Caenorhabditis elegans: one gene and its partners. The protein of the gene in region 3 purifies or fractionates together with the protein of the main gene of each other region. This does not show direct contact. Each region holds a gene or a part of one and is shown on either strand. Other genes may lie near its edges.

Region 1 (3,739 bases), on a different chromosome or scaffold from region 3:
TAAATCGATAGTTTCATTGGATTGTTATTAATAATGAGATCAGTGAAGAGCAAAAAAGTAACAAAAACCCGATATGAAGATCAACTTATTTGTTGGCGAGGTTGACGCGGAGTGGTCTTCCATTGAACTCGGCTCCATTCATCTGCTCGACGGCTCTCTGTGCGGATCCTTCCTCGGCGAACTCGATGAAGGCGAATCCACGTGGACGTCCGGTTTCGCGATCACAGACGATTCTGAAAGAGATATTGCGTTAGAAATCATGAAGCTCGGGCTGGCTGGGAGAGTTACCTGACGTTGTTGATTTGTCCGATGCTGCTGAAGAAGTTTCCAAGCTCCTCCTCGGTGGTCTGGAATGGAGCGTTTCCAACTAAAAAAAAGGAAAATTTTAATTGATTTAAATATTTCGCAACCAAATTTGAATCTAAACACTTAAAATTGCCTTTTCAAATGAAAATATTAGGGAAAACTTCGCGAATTCGATTTTTCCGAAAAATCCCAAAATTTCAGGACAATATCGAGTTTTATTGGCTATTTTAACCAGTTTCCGATTGTTTAATACTTAAAATAAATTATTAAAAAACTAACCGTAAACAGAGAAGATTCCAGACATGACGATTTTAGGCCGTAGCAGAAAATTTATGACGGTTTAATTTTTCCGCTCACCCTGCCTTGGAGAAAACGTGCGGCAGTTGCGTAAAAACCGTGCCAGGGTTGCGTTTTGGCCCCGCCCCTCGAATAGCATCGATTTCGACAGATTTTTTCCATTTCAAGCTGAAAATATGAGGAATTAGTCCAAAATAAGACCGCGAAGAGTGTTGAAACTTGAATTTTCAGTTGTAAGCTCACATTGGGCTGCGCATAGCCCAGGATTCAAAACTTGCTCGAACCGAAGCCGTTCCTTCAAGCTTCTAGCCTCAACGCTTGCCATCAGATTGACCCCAAATGAAGATTCGAAATAAAAAAATAGAGCATATATATTTATGATAACGATTTCATGGGTTTATTATTATTGAGATCATTAAAGATCAAACAAGTAACAAAGTACCGATATGAAAATTAGTTGTTTCTGTTTTGAGCCAAGTTGACGCGTAGAGCTCTTCCGTTGAAATCGACTCCGTTGAATTGGTCGACGGCTCTCTGGGCAGCGGCCTCCTCGGTGAACTCGACGAAGGCGAATCCACGTGGACGTCCGGTCTCGCGGTCGCAAACGATTCTGAAAATAGAGATTCATATTGAGAGTTAACGGGTCGTCGTTCAGGAGGTTTCGGGAAGAGGAGATTTCGGGGAGAGAAGCTTACCTGACGTTGCTGACGTTTCCAGCCTGGCTGAAGTAGTTGCCAAGGTCGTCCTCGGTAGTTTGGAATGGAGCGTTTCCGACTGAAAAATGCATTAAAATTATTAAAAACTCAAATTATCTCAGCCTAATCAAATACAATAAATAGAAAAACGCCTGGAGAAAAATAAAAATTTTAGGCCAGACTTTAAATTCGGCTTTTCTCGATTAAAATCTGCTTTTAAAGCTGAATATTCCAGTTTTCTACTTGAATAATTTACAATTAACAAAACTAACCGTAAACAGAGAATCCAGACATGACGATTTTAGGCCGGAGCGTAAATATGTGTGATTCGAATCGTTTTCGCTTGCCTCCTCCGACTCGTGGGAAACCGTGCGGCACTTGCGGTAAAAGTGTGCCAGCCTTGCGTTCGCGCTCCGCCCCCTTTAGTCATTTCAGCGTTAGCAAACGCTGCGTCTTTTATTCCTCATTCTCTGTCATTTTTCATAGCAATTGTTTCATTTTCTCACGTAATTTGTCGTTTTTTCGCTGAATTACAAGATTTTCATCGATTTTTGACCCTTTTACACTGTAATTTTGCCAAAAAAACGATTATTTTCTCTATGTTTCCGTATGCGCCGCCTATATCGCTGAAAATTATCGTATTTCTTAATTTTTCGCTTTCAGAATGTTCAATCTTCAAAAACGAATCAACGGCAACAACGAGGACGGTCGGTATCTTGAAACCCGCATCGCCGTCCGTGACAAGCTCCTAGCTCAGGGTATGTGGCTGCTTTATAAAAAATTTTGATTTTACAACATTTTCAGAACTCCAACAGCTGGAGACTGCTCTTCGCGATCAGAAGCAAAAGCTGTGGCATCTCGAGGTCCCATCAACATCGTGTCTTCATGAGTTGGAACTCACCGTGACACCTCAAGAAGGAATCTATCGTGGAGGCAAATTCCGATTCAAGATCACCGTCCCGCCAGAGTACAACAACGTGCCGCCCGTTGTTAAGTGCCTGACAAAGGTTTGGCATCCAAATATCAACGAGGACGGATCGATTTGTCTATCGATTTTGCGTCAAAACTCGTTGGATCAATACGGATGGCGTCCAACGCGTAACCTCACCGACGTCGTCCACGGACTCGTCTCACTGTTCAACGATCTTATGGACTTCAACGACGCGCTGAACATTCAAGCCGCCCAGATGTGGAGTCAGAATCGCGAATCGTTCAATCATCGTGTTCGGGAATACATTTCTAGATATTGCTAAGGACCAACGGATCGGATTACAAATGGCCTGTGAATTGACCCCCCCTATGAAATTGATTTTGATTCTAACTTTTCCCCCACCTCTCAGACTTTTTCTAACTGTACTTTTTGAAAGAAATAAAATTTATTCTTGAGAAATTTGAGAACTTAAGAAGAGAAGAGAAAATCGAATAAATTAAACAAGTTAAAGAGATTTGGTGGATAAAATAGAACAGAGTCTGAAGGAATTAAATTAGATTGGCTTGATCTTGAAGTGAAGGCCAATGAGCGAGAAGACGAGGCACTTGAGATCCTGAACGAGATAGTAGAACGAGCGGAGACCATCCGGATCTTTCGAGTTGTTCACATCGGCTAGAGCTCCGATTTTGCCGGTCGTAAACGAGATGTGCTCGTTTTTGTACAGAATTTCCAGCTCCTGGCGTCCAATCTTGTCTGGTTCTGGCCAATTGTCATCGTCCTCCTGCATGATTTCCGAGTCTTCGATGATACGCTTGAGCTCGCTGAGCACCGATTCCGACACTGTCGCCTCTTTGCGGATCATCGTGTCATTCTTGTAGTTGGAGTTGTTCGCGTAGCGAAGCGATCCGTTTGGACGGAATTCGAATTCGAGAAATTCGTGACCGAATTTTCCCTGAAAATTGTTTCGTAAACTAATTTAAATTGGCGAAAATTGTCATTTTTCCAAGATTTTCCAAGACCTACCTTGTGTCCAACGTAGTAACGAACGTAAAAGTCCGCTGCCTTCTCTTCTTCGCCGCTCATTCTGAAAATAAATAGGAATTGAGAAAATCCAAACATCCATTAAATAAAACCGGGTGAAAATTAGAATTTCAAGGTAAAAAAACCTGATTTTTCAGTGAAAATTCACAAAAGAAAGATGATAAATAGGTTTATATTGTGATAAATTCGATAAAAACTGTGTTTTTAGACAAGAAACGATAGAAAATATCCTTTAAAATATAGAGAAAAGAAATCCGATAAAAATTCGAAAACGCCGAAATCTGTGCATTTGTGCGCGGCGGTGTATGCACCACCGGCACCACACTTGACGACGGAAATTTTTTAATTGTCGATTTAACGAAAGATTTAAATAGATTTGAGGATCAATAGAGGTTTAGAGAAGTTGAGATTCGTATAAATTAAAGAAATAGTTTGAAGAGACGATATAAATACAAAGTTAGTGCATACA
Region 2 (6,106 bases), on a different chromosome or scaffold from region 3:
TATTATTACAGATATTTCCGACGCCTCGTTTAGACCGAAACACAATTAATTGATTTTTTTTTTCTCATGTATTTTCTAATTTTCTAGTCAACAATTATTGGCCAGCAGCTTCTTAATATTTTCTATTGCCTGATTTACGGTTTTTTTTAATTATTTATTTTTTTCCTCCAATTTCTGCTTCCACAAATATTTAAATGTACCAAATAATTTCCAATGAGCTTCTGTGATTTGTCTATTTTTATTTATTTTTTTCTGTGAATAATAATTCATTTGTACTAGTATTTATTAGTTTCATTTGATAAGTTTCCTAACAATTTTTGGATTATTTATATCTTATTACGAGGATCCACACGCAAACGCAGAAAGTGTCTGACTTTGTCCGGGCACACTGATCTTCCATTTCGATCCATCACACTTGATGCTTCCTTTTGATCCAACTTTACTCATTGGGGTCACGAATTCACGTCCCTGTTCATTGTAGTACCAAACATCAGAGCCAGCGGGGCATTTTATCGAATATTGATTGCCGGAGCCGGTTACAGCTTGAGAAAATGGAGCGAAATCGCAGAGGGGACAATTGACTCGGCGGGGGAGGTAGATGCTGGAAATGCCGGGGCAGCCACCTGGAAATTATTCAAATTATTCATTTAGGGCCGCATTTGCGCGTAAAATTTGATGCATTGGGTCAGTGAACTACGACAGTGCACCATGTTTGACGCGCAAATTCGAAAAAAAATTTAATTTTTGGGGAAATAAACAAATTCCCTGTACAAAATTGATATTTTTGAAAACACGTGGTGTCAGGCTGTCTCATTGCGGTTTGATAAACAAAAAATGCGGGAATATTTTTCCGGAAAAATTGTGACGTCAGTAGGCTCTTAACCAGGCGAAATAAGATGAGAAGTCTGCGTCTCTTCTCCCGCATTTTTTGAAGATCAAAACCCAAATAGGACATTCTGACTCCCCTTACGAAAATTCACTTTTCAAATAATCTGGCGAAAAGCAGAAAAATTCGTCAAATTTTAAAAACTATTTATAAAAAATCCTATTTTTTCATTAATCCCATTACACTTCTTTTTTTTAATGAATTGGGTGATTAAACATTATTCGAATTTTTTTTTGTTGAAAAATCAATAATCTCAAAAAACCCACCATAGACAGTGACGATCAGAATCGTAGCCAGTAGAACAATGATCTTGAACATTTCGCCGCTGACCTATCTATCAGTACTCAAACCCTAATTCTCAGCCTTAAATATCGTTACTGCTGTTTTTTTTTCGGCGACGAACGCTCACCCCGCCCCACACACAAAACTTCCTTCATCATGATTGATTAGTTTTTGAATTGAAACGGGAAAAAAAGACTGAACAAAGGGAAATATTATTGAGACGTAGAAAAATGCGCTTTTCACGGTGGTTCAGTTGCTAGATGGGTGCAAACGCACTCCACCGAACAAACGTGCATAACTTGGGCAGGAAGCACAAAATCGAAAATTCATCACAAATAAAGATAGGTATATTCATTGCGGTCATTTCTTATATGCATCGCAAAATCGATTTTGTGATGGTTTTCGAGATAGTAGCCAATATAGGTTTCCAGACTGACACGGACAACTGAAAAGGATCCGCCCCCAAACGTTGGGTCTCGTCAGGTATTGGCGAGACAACCGGGAATTTTTATGGTTTTTTGCCGATTTTACTAGTTTTATGTGTCGAAATTAAGGAAAATCAAATTAAATAACGGTTTTCCCTTTTAAATGCAATTTTAAAAACATAATTTCGATATAAAAATCTTGAAAAAACACGAAAAAATGCTTGAGAACAGGTGAAATCGGCAAAAAAGCGGTAATACCTAACGAGACCCAACGTTTGGGGGCGGAGCTTTTCCATTTGACCGTGGAGCGCGCTTGCACCTCGATTTCAAAAATCGCATTTTTCTGCATCAAAATTTTACGATTTTTTTCTCCATATCTCGACACGACAAATATTTGTTAAATACGAAAAGGTGTGCTCCTTTAAAGAGCACTGTAATTTCTCGTTTTGGAATTTTCATTGACACAGTACTCTTTGAAGGCGCACATCTTTTTACATTTAACATACATTTATCGCGACGAGACCAGGCACCGTAGCTTTGGCACAAAAATAGCAATTTTTTCAAATATCAACTACAGTAACCCACAGTTTGACATGGATTTTGAAATAAAAAAGTTTGCGCGTCAAATGTGATGCATTGAGTCATGTACCTAATGCACCACAGTTTACGCGCAAAAAAATTTGGAAAAGTTGAACTCCTGATGTGTGATGTGTTATCAGGAGCGGAGAAAACAAAATTTGTATTTTTCTCTGGGTCTCGTTTTTTTAGGATGCCGTTTATTATTTGTTTCAAAGATTTTTTTTTCAATTTTCAATTTTCAATTTTAATTTTAATTTTGATTTTGCAGGTCAACCATGCCCGTCGCAATTGTCACAGGTAATAATGACTCTAAATACTTGAAATTCCATTCCTCTCCCCTCTTTTCCAGGTGCAAGTTCTGGTATTGGACGTGCGGCGGCTCTTCTTCTCGCCCGGAACAACTACAAGCTCTCACTTACCGGACGGAATGTGGCGGCTCTCAATGAGCTCGCCGGGCAAATTGTCAGTGCTGGAAGTGATAAGAATGATGTACTGGTGACCGCTGTTGAGTTGGCTTCAGAAGAAGCTCCGAAGACTATTGTGGATGCGACTGTGCAAAAGTTTGGACGAATTGACACATTGGTGGGGGGTTATTTTTGGAAAGTTATAATAAAATTTAGAACTATTACGGGAACATAAAAATAAATAAAATTCTGAGAATTCGTACTGCACAACATATTTGACGCGCAAAATATCTCGCAGCGAAAACTACAGTAATTCTTTTAATGACTACTGTAGCTCTTGTGTCGATTTACGGGCTTGATTCTCATAATCAAGATAATAAAGCCCGTAAATCGACACAATCGCTACAGTAGTCATTTAAAGAATTACGGTAGTCTTCGCTACGAGATATTATGCGCGTCAAATGTGTTGCATTACGCATTTTCAGGATTTTGTGTTCCCGTTATAAAAAATTTTAGTTCAAAATTCTTTTTGAAAACGTAATAATTGCGAATTTTGTAAAAAAATGCACAGAAAATTATCCAAATGTGAAGTTTTGCGACTACTATTGCGTTACAAATACGGTATCTGGTCTCACCACGACTAATTTTTGCAACTTGTAAAAAGGTGCGCGCCTTTAAAGAGTACTGTATTTTCTTTTGTTTCTGCGGAATTTTCATCGAATTTTATACTTTTCGATAAAAAACTGTTTGAAAAATTAAAATTTATATATAAAAATCGAAGGAAAATTTGAAAAAATTCTGTAGTATATGCGAGTACTGTAGCTCAGTTTTGCACCCAAATTTAATTATTTTTTTTAAAATTAAAATTATTTTTGTCGCATTTCACATTAAGATTCAGAGATCTTAGAATTTTTATTTTTTAAAATTTTTTGAGAAAAAAGTTTGCGCGCTTTTTTAGATACTTTTTTTTTCGAATTTTCCAAATTTCTGCCTAAAGAGTTTTCTCATTTTTATTTTCGAGAAAAATTGCACCAACCTGTAAAAAGAAAATATGGGGATAACGAAAACATTTAAAAAAACTCTCCAACCGATTCTTGAATTATTAAACCCTTAAAATATTCTAAATTTCAGATCAATTCGGCCGGGATTCTGCGTGCCGGACCAGTTCTCGATTCTGGAATTGAAGTCTACGATGAGCTAATGAATGTGAATGTTCGTAGTTTGATCCGCCTGACACGTGCAGCTCTTCCACATATTATTACAACAAAAGGAACTGTTGTCAATGTCAGCAGTATTAATGGACCGTGCCCTGTATGATGTTATTTTTTTGTTGAAAATAATTTTCAAATTCGCAATTTTCAGTTCCCAAATGTAACCTATTACTGTATGTCCAAGTCGGCCGTAGATCAATTCACAAAATGTTTGGCTCTCGAAATGGCTCCGAATGGAGTTCGTGTTAATGCTGTTTGGTGAGTTTTCTCGCGATTTTTGCCAAAAAACTACGGTGCCAGGTCTCGAAGCGATCGATTCTCTTTAAGGAGTACTGTAATTACGATTTTTTCGGTTTTTAGGTTTTTTAAAGAAATATTCGAAAAATAAGAAAACATATACATTTCTTCCAAAAAGAAGAAAAATTGTCAAAATTTCAAGATATTTTGCGAAAAATCGGAAAAATATTTATTTTTGAAATCGAAAATATTTTTGGCTTTTTTTTTTTCGAAAAATCGAAAAATTATCGGAAAATATGAGTAAGAACGAAATCACAAAAAAAAACTAGGAAAATTTCCTGAAAATTCTAACTTTTTGCCGAATTTTCATAGGTTTTCTTGTTTTTGTTCAAATTTTGATGCATTTTTATATTTTTTGAATAAAAACGAATTTTTTAAAAGACAGGAGCTAAACTATGGAAAATTGCTTTAAAAATCTCGCAAAAACTAGGAGTAAGTAACTACAGTACACTACAGTACTCCTTTAAAGGCGCACGCACTTTTGAATTGAAAAAAAAAAGATCGCTTCGAGACCGGTTACCGTATTTTGGTGCAAAAATCGCTAACTTTCTCATTTTTTGTCGAATGAAACGCTAACAACACACGTATTACGGGAACACAAAATTTTGGGAATTCGTCTTACGCAACATATTTGACGCGCAAAATATCAAAACTACAGTAATCCTTTAACTGACTACTGTACTGCTTGTGTCGATTTACGGGCTCGATTTTGGAAATTAATTTATTTTCTTCGTTTCTTCGTATTATTTTCTCATTTTCAATAATCTTTTGATAAATAAAAAAACCCGTAAATCGGCACAAGTGCAACAGTAGTCATTTAAAGAATTACTGTAGTTTTGATATTTTGCGCGTCACATATGATGCGCAATACGCATTCTCAAAATATTGTGTTCCCTTAATAAACCCATATAAATTTGTCATTTCTCCAAAAATTTCAGCCCAGGGGTCACCGTGACCAACCTGCATCGTACATCTGGTCAAGACGAGACAACATATTCTGCGGTATAAAACCTGCTGCACTGACCTTGACAAATAAATATCATCATTTCTTTCAGTTCTTGGAACGTAGTAAAACGACACACGCACTCGGCCGTCCCGGTGATGCCAATGAAGTTGCTGAGGCAATCTATTTCCTCGCCTCTGAGAAAAGTTCATTCACTACTGGAGAACTTCTTCGTGTTGACGGAGGCCGCGGAATCATGCATCCGAGATAAATATTAGCTTTTTTGTCTCATATTGAGATTGTTTTGAACTTTTATCATGTAATAAATAGAGAGATACATGTATTTTTTTTAATTGTGTTTTTATTGAATCCTTTATAGTGGTTTTTTCCTTGCTTAATTTTTTTTTTTTTTGAAAAAAAATCGATTTTTTTTTGATTCAGTTTTGAATTTATTCAGAGTATCCGAAAATGCCAGTCGCCATCATCACCGGAGCAAGTTCGGGAATCGGAAAAGGCACGGCTCTTCTGTTCGCGAAAAAAAAGTACCAACTCTCGCTGACCGGAAGAAATACGGATTCTTTGAAGGAAGTCGCAGCACTATGTATTTCAGAGGGTGCAATTTCGGCTGATGATGTGAGTTTTATATTTTAGGAACTGTGACGGAAAGTACAGTATTACGGGAACACAGAATTCTGAGATTGCGTATTGCGCAACATATTTGACGCGCAAAATATCTCGTAGCGAAAACTACAGTAATCCTTCAAATTACTACTGTAACTCTGGTGTCGTAAATCAACACAAGCGCTACAGTAGTCATTTAAAGAATTACTGTAGTTTTGATATTTTGCGCGTCAATTATGTTGTGCATTACGCATTCTCAGAATTTTGTGTTCTCATGATAGCAGTTATCACAAAAAAATTTCGATTTTTTTTCCTCGTTTGTAATTTTTGGAAACACCGTTTTTTTGTCGAAAAAACAAAAAAAATTATTTTTTTAATTAAAAAAAACCGCCGCCATGGTCTTGACACATACAAAAAAAAATATTAAAACTCATCGAATATCAAGAAGTATACTAAAA
Region 3 (3,675 bases):
AGGAGGAGCACGTGCTGAAGATGTGCAAATTCGGAGAGCCTGCTATCAGAGAGTTCATTGTCGCGAACTTTTCGGCTGAAGAGATCGTCGATTTCAGATCTCAAGTATGTTTTCAAAAAGCCTTCTCACAATAAATGTTCCAATTTTCAGCTTCACGATAATCTGGAAGAATACGAAGAGAAGAACAAGCCATCTCTCATCAAAAAGCTCGTCGGAAAGATAAAAGGGATCGGCGCTCGGAGAGATGATGACTCGGATTCCGAAGAGGATTCGGAAGAGAGCTCCGACGAGGACTAAAATCATTCTTGTGTACAACCCAAACCTACTAACCCGCACATTATTTTCTGAAATAGCTTGCCACAATTGTAAATAAATATTAGCGCCTGTAATACTCTTGTAACTGGAAGAAAGTTCATTTAAGAAAATATCAAAAATTAGAACAACTTCTTGAATGGATTTCCTTGTTGCCCGCCGAGTTTGCTCTGAAAATGGAGAGACTACTGGAGCTTTATTAAAAAGGTATTCAACTAACCAAGTTCTCAATCTTCGCCTGAAGCTCGACGATTTTCTTCTGCAAGTTGTCCAAATCACCACGAGACTCCTTCAATTTCTCCAAATTCTCCGACTTTTGCTCATCCGAAACTTCCGGATTGTTGACCTGCTGCTCATACAACTGTTTGGCCGATTCATAACCAGACTTGCTCGATTCATAGATCTTCTTAATGTTCTCCAATCGAAGTTTTTCATTATTAAGAATCTCGGGAAACATTTCTAGGAATCTGACAAGTGAGAATAACCAAAAGAATGTGAAGAGCTGGCAACAATGCCTACATTTTATGCTCGAAATCTGAATATTTGCACAATTTACAGCTTTTCCTCTAACAATTCCATTTTATGTGTTTACTCTTCACGAGTCAACAGAGTTCGAACGGTTGTCTGAAATTCAGGATAGAATGCGCAGAGATTGGAACAAAATGACGGAAATCGACGCTTTCAATCGCTTCTACAATGTTACAGTTCTCTCCAAGCTGTTGAGAACAATTCACGAAGGCTTCCTCGAGTACGACCCATGTAACTGAACAACTATATTCTTTTCGAGCAATTTATTGATGATCAAGATGAAAAAGTGAAGCAATAAACAGGGTTGGATGGGGTGATTGAAAAGAAGAAAAGTTCTCACGGAGAACAAATTTAGAGCTGTCCGCAGTCGGCGATGAGGCACTCGGACTTTGGAGTTCCGGAGCTGCTTCCGTTGCCCTCGACCTTGCTGACGATGTCCAATCCTTCGACGACACGTCCGAAAACGACGTGCTTTCCGTCGAGCCAGGCAGTCTTGACGGTGCAGAGGAAGAATTGAGATCCGTTGGTGTTTGGTCCAGCGTTAGCCTGAAGAAAAACAATGAAACTTATCAGCCAGTGGATAACAGTTAAGAAACTAGATAATGCTTCTTTTCTATCAGTTTATGCTGTCTTTCAATCTGGCTAGGCAACATAACTTACCATGGAAAGGACTCCTGGTCCGGTGTGCTTCTCCTTGAAGTTCTCGTCTGGGAACTTCTCTCCGTAGATGGATTCTCCTCCAGTTCCGTTCCCGCGGGTGAAGTCTCCTCCCTGGATCATGAATTCTGGGATGATACGATGGAACTTGGATCCCTTGAAGTGGAGTGGCTTTCCGGACTTTCCGACTCCCTTCTCACCAGTGCAAAGAGCACGGAAGTTCTCAGCGGTTTTTGGAACAATATCGTTGTAGAGCTGAAAATAAGATTTAATTTCATGAAAAAAGATCAGTGTTTTGTTTACCTCCATAACGATACGTCCGGTTGGTTTTCCGGCGATGGTGATGTCGAAGAAGACTCTTGGGCGGCTCATTTTCAGGTAGGGTAATCACTAAAATGCTTGAGTTATAGTTGAGAAATATGTATGAGATAGGTATATCTACAGAGGTGCGGCAAACACGCTCTGCGGTAATAGAGCGGGAATCAATCAAAGTTAAAAATATAAACAAAGCACCATAAGATACAAGGAAGAAGCACACGGATGAGCTATATACTGAAATGGAGTGAATTAGCGCACTAAAACAGAAAATTTTAGGCCCAACTAAATTAATTTTCCTGTTGGGCCTAAAATCTGCCGAAAGACGTGATTCAACAAGGATTAAACGACAGTTGCACATCAAAAAAGTTCTTAAATAATTTTCAATTGATTTTAATTCATTTTAATAAGCGAAACTATAAAAATTCTGACAAAATCAACAAATTAGGCGACGAAAGAGAGAAGAAATGAGCCGTTCGCTTCTAGAATTTTCCGACGTAAACAACAAAGTCCGCAAAAGTGTCTGCGTACCCGACACCCAATCATACGACATGCGCCATATCTGACGACACTTTCGCTGTGTTTCCCGCCTTTTGTCAACACTTTCACCGTGCGCCTGTGTTTTCAAATGATCGTACACAAAACAACAGAACGGCGCCGAAATTGATAACAATTTTTGTAGGCAATAAAAGATTACATTGAAAAACCGGTCATTGATATCAGTTCGATCATCACCACGGTCTTCACGAAAAGAAGGAGAAATATCGAGATGATTTAACATTGAGAAACATTGAGAACATTTTAAATTGCTAAATAGATCACAAATTAATCCAACAGTTTTTCATTTTGTTGAATGCTTTCGAGATCGATTGAGCTAAATATGAAGCTCTGCATGTGACGGGTATCTGCGAAGCGGTTCGTCAAGATTAGCTTTGCTTATCCGCTAAAAAATAATCTTTTCGTACAAGGACAAAATAAAATCTGCACAAAATACATCGTGATGTGCTAAAAATGGTTAATGTGAAAGTCCTAGAAATAGACCAATAAACTTTATAAATTTTGACTGGTCTCGAAGCCATTTAGTGTACTGTAGGTGAGAGCATTGCTCAGCTTAAATTGTTTGTTTCAAATTCTTCTTCATTGTTCAAATTAAATTTATCACAAGATAAAATGTCTGGAAAAGACAATAAAGGATCAATTCGTTTTGAGATTCAAAATTTTTCTGGCTTGGCGAAGGCGACGGAGCACAAACCAGTGCAAATTGGACACGTAGAATGGTTAGTGAATTTTAATGAAACAAAAAATGTTCTAAATTATTTAAAATATTATCTTTTAAGGATTCTTGGAGCATTCACAAGCACTTCCGACGCTACGAACAATGCTAAACATCTCGGAATTCACCTGAAATGCAACGAGGAACTGCGCAGCAACTTGTGGTCCTGCGATGCGTCAATTCGTTTTTCACTTCTGAGACTCAATTCAAACGAGGATGATGACGCGTTTTCGATGGAGTTTCAGCAAAAGTTCGACGACTTGAACAAGATTGTGGTGGTCAACAATTTTAAAAATTGGGAGGAAGCCATCTGCTACGATAATCGATTTGTGCTCGATAAGCATGCCGTTCTTGAAGTCCAAATTACTGTCAACAAGATTGCCGGAATTCATGAGAGGATTATCGAGACTTTCGATCAACCCAAGGAACATCTTACCGATGTTGTGCTGGTGCTTGAAGGAAAACATGTCCATGTTGGCAAGCAAGTGCTCGCAACGAGCTCGCAATTCTTCCAAAAAATGTTCTATTCGAATTTCGCCGAAAAGACACAGGCTGAGATCAAAATCGATGATGTGACCCACTCTGAGTTT
Region 4 (6,262 bases), on a different chromosome or scaffold from region 3:
TGTTTGTAACGGATCTCAAAAACAACTACAACAAATTGAAAAGTGGGACGTTGAAAAGATGGAAACGTTCAAATTCAAACACGTGGCTAAGAAGGAGGAACTAGCTCAGTGGAAGTTAGAGCAGCTCAAAAGCTCGCCGGCGGTAATAGTTTGTTTTCGAATGACACCAAAGATTCGAGACTTTCGTTGATTATAAGAAAGGCCTTTTTTCGATGAAAATAATAATTAACAGAGAACGTGGAATCTCTGTTCACAATTTCCGAACTTAAAATGCGAGTTCTAAGAACACAATTTCGAACATCTGCTGTTCAAGTACAATTTCCTGGTCCGGTATGTGAAACATTTTCTACTAGTCCAAGCTTCACTTAGAATACTAAATAGAGTTTGTTCTCAACTGAGTCTTCAGCTTTCGATTCCTTCCTGTCTTTATATAAAAACATGCGCTTCTGGGAGTAAGTTTGTTTTTATTAGATAAAAATATTATCATTCCCTTGTTATCTTTTTGTTATTGTGTTGAATAATCAAACAAGATAATTTTCATTTAAGTGTGTGAAGCGTCCGACCAATTCAGAACATTCCTACTATAACCAATGTAACAGTCTATGTATAAAGTCACATGTTACCACACATTTTATGATTTTTACGGAACTAAAGAAGAGTTTTTAGAAACTACTTGGTACATACTTATCAGAATGGTTTGCACGAAGGAAATTGGTCTTGAATTTCAATTTTCTCTGCCGCTTCTTCCAATCTCCCAGCACACCCATGTCTATGAAGCAAAACCAAATTGCGATGGAATCGGAGCAATTTTTGATATCAACTGATAATGTTCATTCGTTTCCGAAAAGTCTTAACGAGGCGAAACCATGCCGATCGCACTATTTACAGATCATATTATAACAAAAACGGTTTGTGTTTCATTATTTGATAGCACAAACTGTAGACAAGGAAATACGCACCTAGTTTGGTTTGCTGGAAGAGCATGACAAAAGAAAACAATTCTCCATAAAAGCGTCTAAAATGTAACAATGAAGATCGAAAAGTAAAAACTTGTGGCAAAGTTCTAGACTGGATAATTGATGCGACAACCAAGTGGTTTTGTTGCGTTTTTAGTCACGATTATTCCAATTCAGGCTCTCAAATGACGTCGTCACACATAATGAATGAATTATGACAAAACAGACTGCACTACTGAAGAGAGCAATGCGGAACGAGGATTCAGTGTGTAAACTAAGGTAAATCCGCGTGAACGTCGTAACTGCTTGGATTTACTGTCTATTCACTCATTAGTGAGTGATATACTTGTATTGAATGAAATTTCCTAAAGCTCCCGTCGTTACGGAATTCACGGTCAATTGAATTTACAAAAACCGTCCGTATTCAAAAACATTATTATAAAATGAATAAAAATTGAATTGTTCGATGTTTGATTGTTTACTGTTTTGGTTTTTGTTTAGATTATTCTACTTGTACTTGAATTGTCCTTTTAACATTTTAGTGAAAATAATCAAGCTTGAATGAGTTTTTTTTCAGTTTCACATGACTTAACCCTTGCACAAAGTTGTTGAGCCGGAAACTAAAGCTTACTCATTAGAAAAATTTACCTACTACCTGATCGTAGTTAGGGTTTTTACAAATAATCTTTGTGTTAAAAGAGAAAAACACGCTTGTTTTGTGAAAAGAATGCTGGTTCGAGATGTATCTGGGGAACTGAAAAACGTCGGTTCAAAAATTAGCTCAATATTATTTTTAATGGAACTTTATAAGAAAAAAACATCATCACATAAATACGAAAATCTAAATATTACCTCATTGAAATTTGAATAACAAAAAAAATGGTCAAAGACACAAATAAATATAATCTTGATCCTATTTCAGAGTATTTCCTCGTCCACCCCCACCAATCAAAAGTATATTAGGAAGCCGCGTTCTTTTTGACCCGAAGATTGGATTATAAGATTAGCAACAGAGGTGTATCCTTTCACGGAAAATTGCAGTCCATTTCAATAATCACAAGATTTCTGATTTGTTGCATTGTGTTGGTTTTCTGGGGAAGGATATACGTTTTTCTAGAACTATCCATGCCACACTTTGATTGGCATTGAAAGTGGCATCAATTGCTCTTTCGCTCTGCGATCACAGAGCTGTAACTCCGCCTCTGACAGTCTTCGGTACAGGTGCTTACGTAGGAATTACCGGGTTTTGAGATAAGGAATTGTGATCAAAGGCACGTGTAAGTTGATATAAAAGAGAGTCCAAAAGTTAGCAAACTCAGACAGCTTGTCCATCAGCCGATATGTTTGTCAAATCGCTTCTGCTCCTTTCTGTCGGTGAGTGTGATAACAAAATTAAAACTGGTTTCAGTGAACAGCAAAATTGTATAAGATCTAGTAAATCACCAGCTCAAAAGAATTAGATCAAAACCAACATGAAATTGGATTTTTAAGGTGCTAATTTAATTTCAATGTTTACATTTTCTTTTTTTTTTAGTTATCAGTTGAAAATGTTTCGATAAGTCTGAACACTGATGCGTTCAATCAATTAAAACAAAACTAGAGAAATTTTTAATTTCCATAAGGCTGGTAATATCTTCTTTTAAAAACAAAGAATGAAACGTCATTTAAAGTTTAATATCGGCTAACCAAAGATTAATCTAGACTCAACTACTCCCATATTTAGTGTTAACTCTTGTTGTTGTTTGCTTGTTTATAAAATTTTATCGGATGAAAGTTCGCTTAATATTAGCTCAAATCATTTCTCGGCTCACGGGACATCTGATTATAGGTTTACAGCTAATAGCACGTTTTGAAAGCTAAATATGTGTTTCACATTTGTAAAAAACAATAGGGAAAAGTAACAACAATTATAGATCGAAGAAATAGGAGAAAAATAAAAATAAATTGAAACTTTAAAAAAAGGCAGAGACAGCGAATAGAACTATTTCGTGATTACGGTATTTCAGCTATTGCGTACGTTTCCGCCGACTGCCTCCACTGCATCTGCATGAGAGAGTCAGGATGCAAACCAATCGGTTGCCACATGGACGTTGGATCCCTCTCCTGCGGATACTATCAGGTAAATCAAGATCAACTAGGGAATATGTGAATCTAGAAATGGAAATAGCAGAATATCAGAACACGTTTTCAATTTTGTCATGAAACCATACAAGATGTTCGGTTGCCTGTTTATTGTTTTGCCATTTAAATAAGGAAACAATAACACTTCAGAAAAATACGTGAAATTCAAAAGCTCATCTTTCATGTCTTCATTAATTGATGGTTTTTGAAATCGGCACGAAATGTTTGTTATGCCTCATTGAACAGATATTTCTTTAATGAAAATCTAGCATAATTGAAACGGTTCATCGGACCACAGCCCCCATATTTTTCACATATCTCTTCTCAAGCGAATCGGAAGTTCCTAATCAGTATGGTAAAATAAATCGCGTTGAATTTTAATTTTGAGTTTTTTCGATAAAAATGTATAACAAGAAACGATGTTTTAAATTGCTAAAACAAAAAAACCACAAAAGAGCAAATGCGTACTTTCCCGAGGAAATGGACAGGAAATGCTTTGAAAATGTTAAAACGGGATTGATTTTTGTATAGGGGAACTTTTGCATTGAAGCTAAGAAGATAAAAGGCATACTAGAAATGAAAACTTTCAAAACCATGTAGACAAGGAAATTGTATGGAACAACAACAAGGATATACAAAAATTGAACTCTACTCTATGTATTCCAGTTTTTTTTAATTTTAAATGTACCAAGACCCAACTATAAAAAGTAAAGAATAAAAATATAATATGTTTCTTTTAGATCAAGATTGGATACTATGAAGACTGCGGACAACCAACAAAGAAGGCTGGAGAGACTACTGAAGCTGCCTGGAAGAGATGTGCTGATGATCTTAACTGCGCTACCACTTGCGTCGAGGTACGTGCAGATTTAGCAACAGGATACATGCAAAAAAAATCATCAAAATTCTTATTTTGGGAAAACGGGTGTTGAGTGGGTGCAACTTTTCATCCTTAAATCGCAAAATTCCGGATAGACTGCGGCTTATTTCAGTCATGGAAGCAATTCTATCCTTTGGGAATCTCGTCATATCATTCTCAAAATTAAAAACTTCGCGACTAAATTTAGTGTACGAATTACGTGGATCGCCCACCTGAGAACTCAAATTTCTACTATCTGCCGCTAATTGAGGCAAATTAATTTAAACGTCATGTAGACAATACTGCGATGAGTAACTTTTCTGCAATTTCAACGGCGGAACTAGAAAAAAAGGAACTAGCTCAAAATAAGTTGCGAGATAATGTCAAAAATCACAGAATTAACCTGTAAACAAAAATGCACACATAGCAAACGAGCCCAGCAAAAAACGTCATTGTTAGCTTCTATGTATGGCTATAGCGGTGGCGACGTTAACGACATCAAAGACAATAAGTACTTATTGTTATCAACACCCCGCTAACAACGTGCTTACCACGCCATAAAAAGTAGCAAAGAAAGATTATGACGGCTTGAAAAGAGGTTAAAGAACTCTAATACGGAATGAATGTTTGCACTCTTCACAAAATTTATTGAATACGTCAAAAATCACATATACAAAAGAGGAAATCTAAAATTTTAAAATCTACATGTTATACAAGCATTTTGAAATAATTTCAGAACTACTACAACCGCTACAAGTCTCAGTGCAATGGACTTGGAATGGGAGCTTGCCAGGTGAGTCGCCTACGCAGTTGTTGTTTTGCTCTGGGCACTTTCAAATTGTGTAGATGAAATACAATTTAAAGTTTTCGAGTGTCTGGTAGTTTGGAGGAGGTTGCCCCCCGATTTTGATTTTTGAATTGATCAGAAGGAAACAAAATATTTCATAAAGTGATGCGAAGTTTTAGGAAAGATACAAAAATTTCCGCGAAAAAGGGGTCAGAGTTTTTTATTTAGAGCAAGAATGCTACTACGCAACTAACTATAAGAGGTTGAAAATTAAATGTCGAACATTTCTATTTTGGGTAGCAGGGGAAAACATTAATATGCCATAGTCACTAGGTAGGTGAAACGACCCTCTGGAATAGAGAAATTATTGCAGACCTGAACAGGTCTGACGTAGAAATGTCTAGAGCATCCAAGTAGTATTCCACCAAAAAATGTACATATACTTCCTGACAATTTTTGGAAAATTCTGACGACAGAAACACTACAATTTTTTCTCGATTCTTTATCTTTTAATCATTTTGGTCACACTTGAGCAGTTTTTTAACATCATTTCATTGAGTGGACATGTGTATTTGACAATTGATAATAGTGGGACTAACAATCAGAAAACTACGTAGCATTTTCAGAAGTATGTTGTTTTGTTCAAGTTAGGACAAAAGACCTTAGATTTCAATCAAGCAAATGGCAATCCATTCAATTTCAGATCATGTCCCGTAACCACAACGGAGGACCACGTGGATGCCACAACGCCAACACCTTGGCTTACTGGAACGGAGTTAAAAGCTGCTGTGGATGCTCTTAATTTTCAATTTTATCAAAATAAGAATATATATGAATCAATAAAGCTTATTTAAAATCAAAGTAGAAAGGATATCAAACTTGTTTATAAGCTTTTCAAAACATAGGTTGCGAAAAAATGCGAACGTTTTGAAAAATAATTGAGTAGGCGAAGAGGTCAGTGGGTTTAAAATGATGTCAGAGTGAACAATTTATGAGAACAAGCATATCGTTTTCTAAATTTGTAAAGGTCTAAGTAGACCACCATCTATGTCATAGGTTGTATCTTAAAATAAGTTGACCCGTTTTATGATCTAGTTTTATATTCTTTTTGCCTCTGGTGAGAATAAACAAGGCTTTCAATTTGTCTGCTCGATGATGCATGATGTTTACGATACTTTCGGATTAAAATAATCGTGAGATGGATTTGCACGAAAAGGTTGCGGAACGAACAGCTCGAATGATATTAAATGATAATCTCGAATTGTCAACAAAGTACATTATGAAGTGATAGGAACTGTTGTTCGCAGACCTGAGATGTTTTGAAAACTTGATTTTAAAACCTACGCAACCGGAAAATTAAAGATCACAAGATTTCTGTGAGGATCATAACGGGTGTAGGTAGCAACTTTATCTCGGTGTTTCCACATTTCTATTTCAGGCTTAAAAACAAAGTTGGTCTTTTTCGTTCTCAAGTTGAGCTCAAGACAGAAGTTGGGAAAAATATCATTTTCAGATTACCAGCAAACTTTTCAAAACAGA

What was found.
Region 1: the proteins of cyn-7 (region 3) and ubc-12 fractionate together in Caenorhabditis elegans (co-fractionation; one large-scale study listed by BioGRID). This does not show direct contact.
Region 2: the proteins of cyn-7 (region 3) and Y47G6A.22 fractionate together in Caenorhabditis elegans (co-fractionation; one large-scale study listed by BioGRID). This does not show direct contact.
Region 4: the proteins of cyn-7 (region 3) and ilys-5 fractionate together in Caenorhabditis elegans (co-fractionation; one large-scale study listed by BioGRID). This does not show direct contact.

What each region holds. Positions count from the first base shown.
Region 1 is NC_003279.8:11,909,365-11,913,103, forward strand, and holds ubc-12 (NEDD8-conjugating enzyme ubc-12), read left to right. Parts: upstream 1-1,955; 5' UTR 1,956-1,962; coding exon 1,963-2,056; intron 2,057-2,102; coding exon 2,103-2,551; 3' UTR 2,552-2,689; downstream 2,690-3,739. Other genes in the region: rbm-3.1 (RRM domain-containing protein), read right to left, coding at 86-233, 289-367, 586-610; rbm-3.2 (RRM domain-containing protein), read right to left, coding at 1,057-1,213, 1,299-1,377, 1,571-1,592; mag-1 (Protein mago nashi homolog), read right to left, coding at 2,783-3,181, 3,253-3,312. UniProt on the Caenorhabditis elegans protein: Accepts the ubiquitin-like protein NEDD8 from the uba-3-ula-1 E1 complex and catalyzes its covalent attachment to other proteins. Plays a role in male tail tip morphogenesis.
Region 2 is NC_003279.8:3,559,186-3,565,291, reverse strand, and holds Y47G6A.22 (DeHydrogenases, Short chain), read left to right. Parts: upstream 1-2,440; 5' UTR 2,441-2,447; coding exon 2,448-2,469; intron 2,470-2,521; coding exon 2,522-2,754; intron 2,755-3,707; coding exon 3,708-3,887; intron 3,888-3,938; coding exon 3,939-4,045; intron 4,046-5,022; coding exon 5,023-5,086; intron 5,087-5,139; coding exon 5,140-5,298; 3' UTR 5,299-5,358; downstream 5,359-6,106. Other genes in the region: lpd-3 (Bridge-like lipid transfer protein family member 1 C-terminal domain-containing protein), read left to right, coding at 1-49; Y47G6A.33 (C6 domain-containing protein), read right to left, coding at 337-623, 1,153-1,204; Y47G6A.21 (DeHydrogenases, Short chain), read left to right, coding at 5,496-5,660.
Region 3 is NC_003283.11:15,185,492-15,189,166, forward strand, and holds cyn-7 (Peptidyl-prolyl cis-trans isomerase 7), read right to left. Parts: upstream 1,888-3,675; 5' UTR 1,870-1,887; coding exon 1,801-1,869; intron 1,753-1,800; coding exon 1,501-1,752; intron 1,387-1,500; coding exon 1,192-1,386; 3' UTR 1,091-1,191; downstream 1-1,090. Other genes in the region: Y75B12B.3 (Transposase), read right to left, coding at 435-482, 533-769; bath-36 (BTB and MATH domain-containing protein 36), read left to right, coding at 2,983-3,089, 3,150-3,675. UniProt on the Caenorhabditis elegans protein: PPIases accelerate the folding of proteins. It catalyzes the cis-trans isomerization of proline imidic peptide bonds in oligopeptides.
Region 4 is NC_003284.9:6,532,812-6,539,073, reverse strand, and holds ilys-5 (lysozyme), read left to right. Parts: upstream 1-2,233; 5' UTR 2,234-2,296; coding exon 2,297-2,330; intron 2,331-2,962; coding exon 2,963-3,075; exon of another isoform or gene 3,076-3,817; coding exon 3,818-3,934; intron 3,935-4,672; coding exon 4,673-4,729; intron 4,730-5,426; coding exon 5,427-5,525; 3' UTR 5,526-5,584; downstream 5,585-6,262.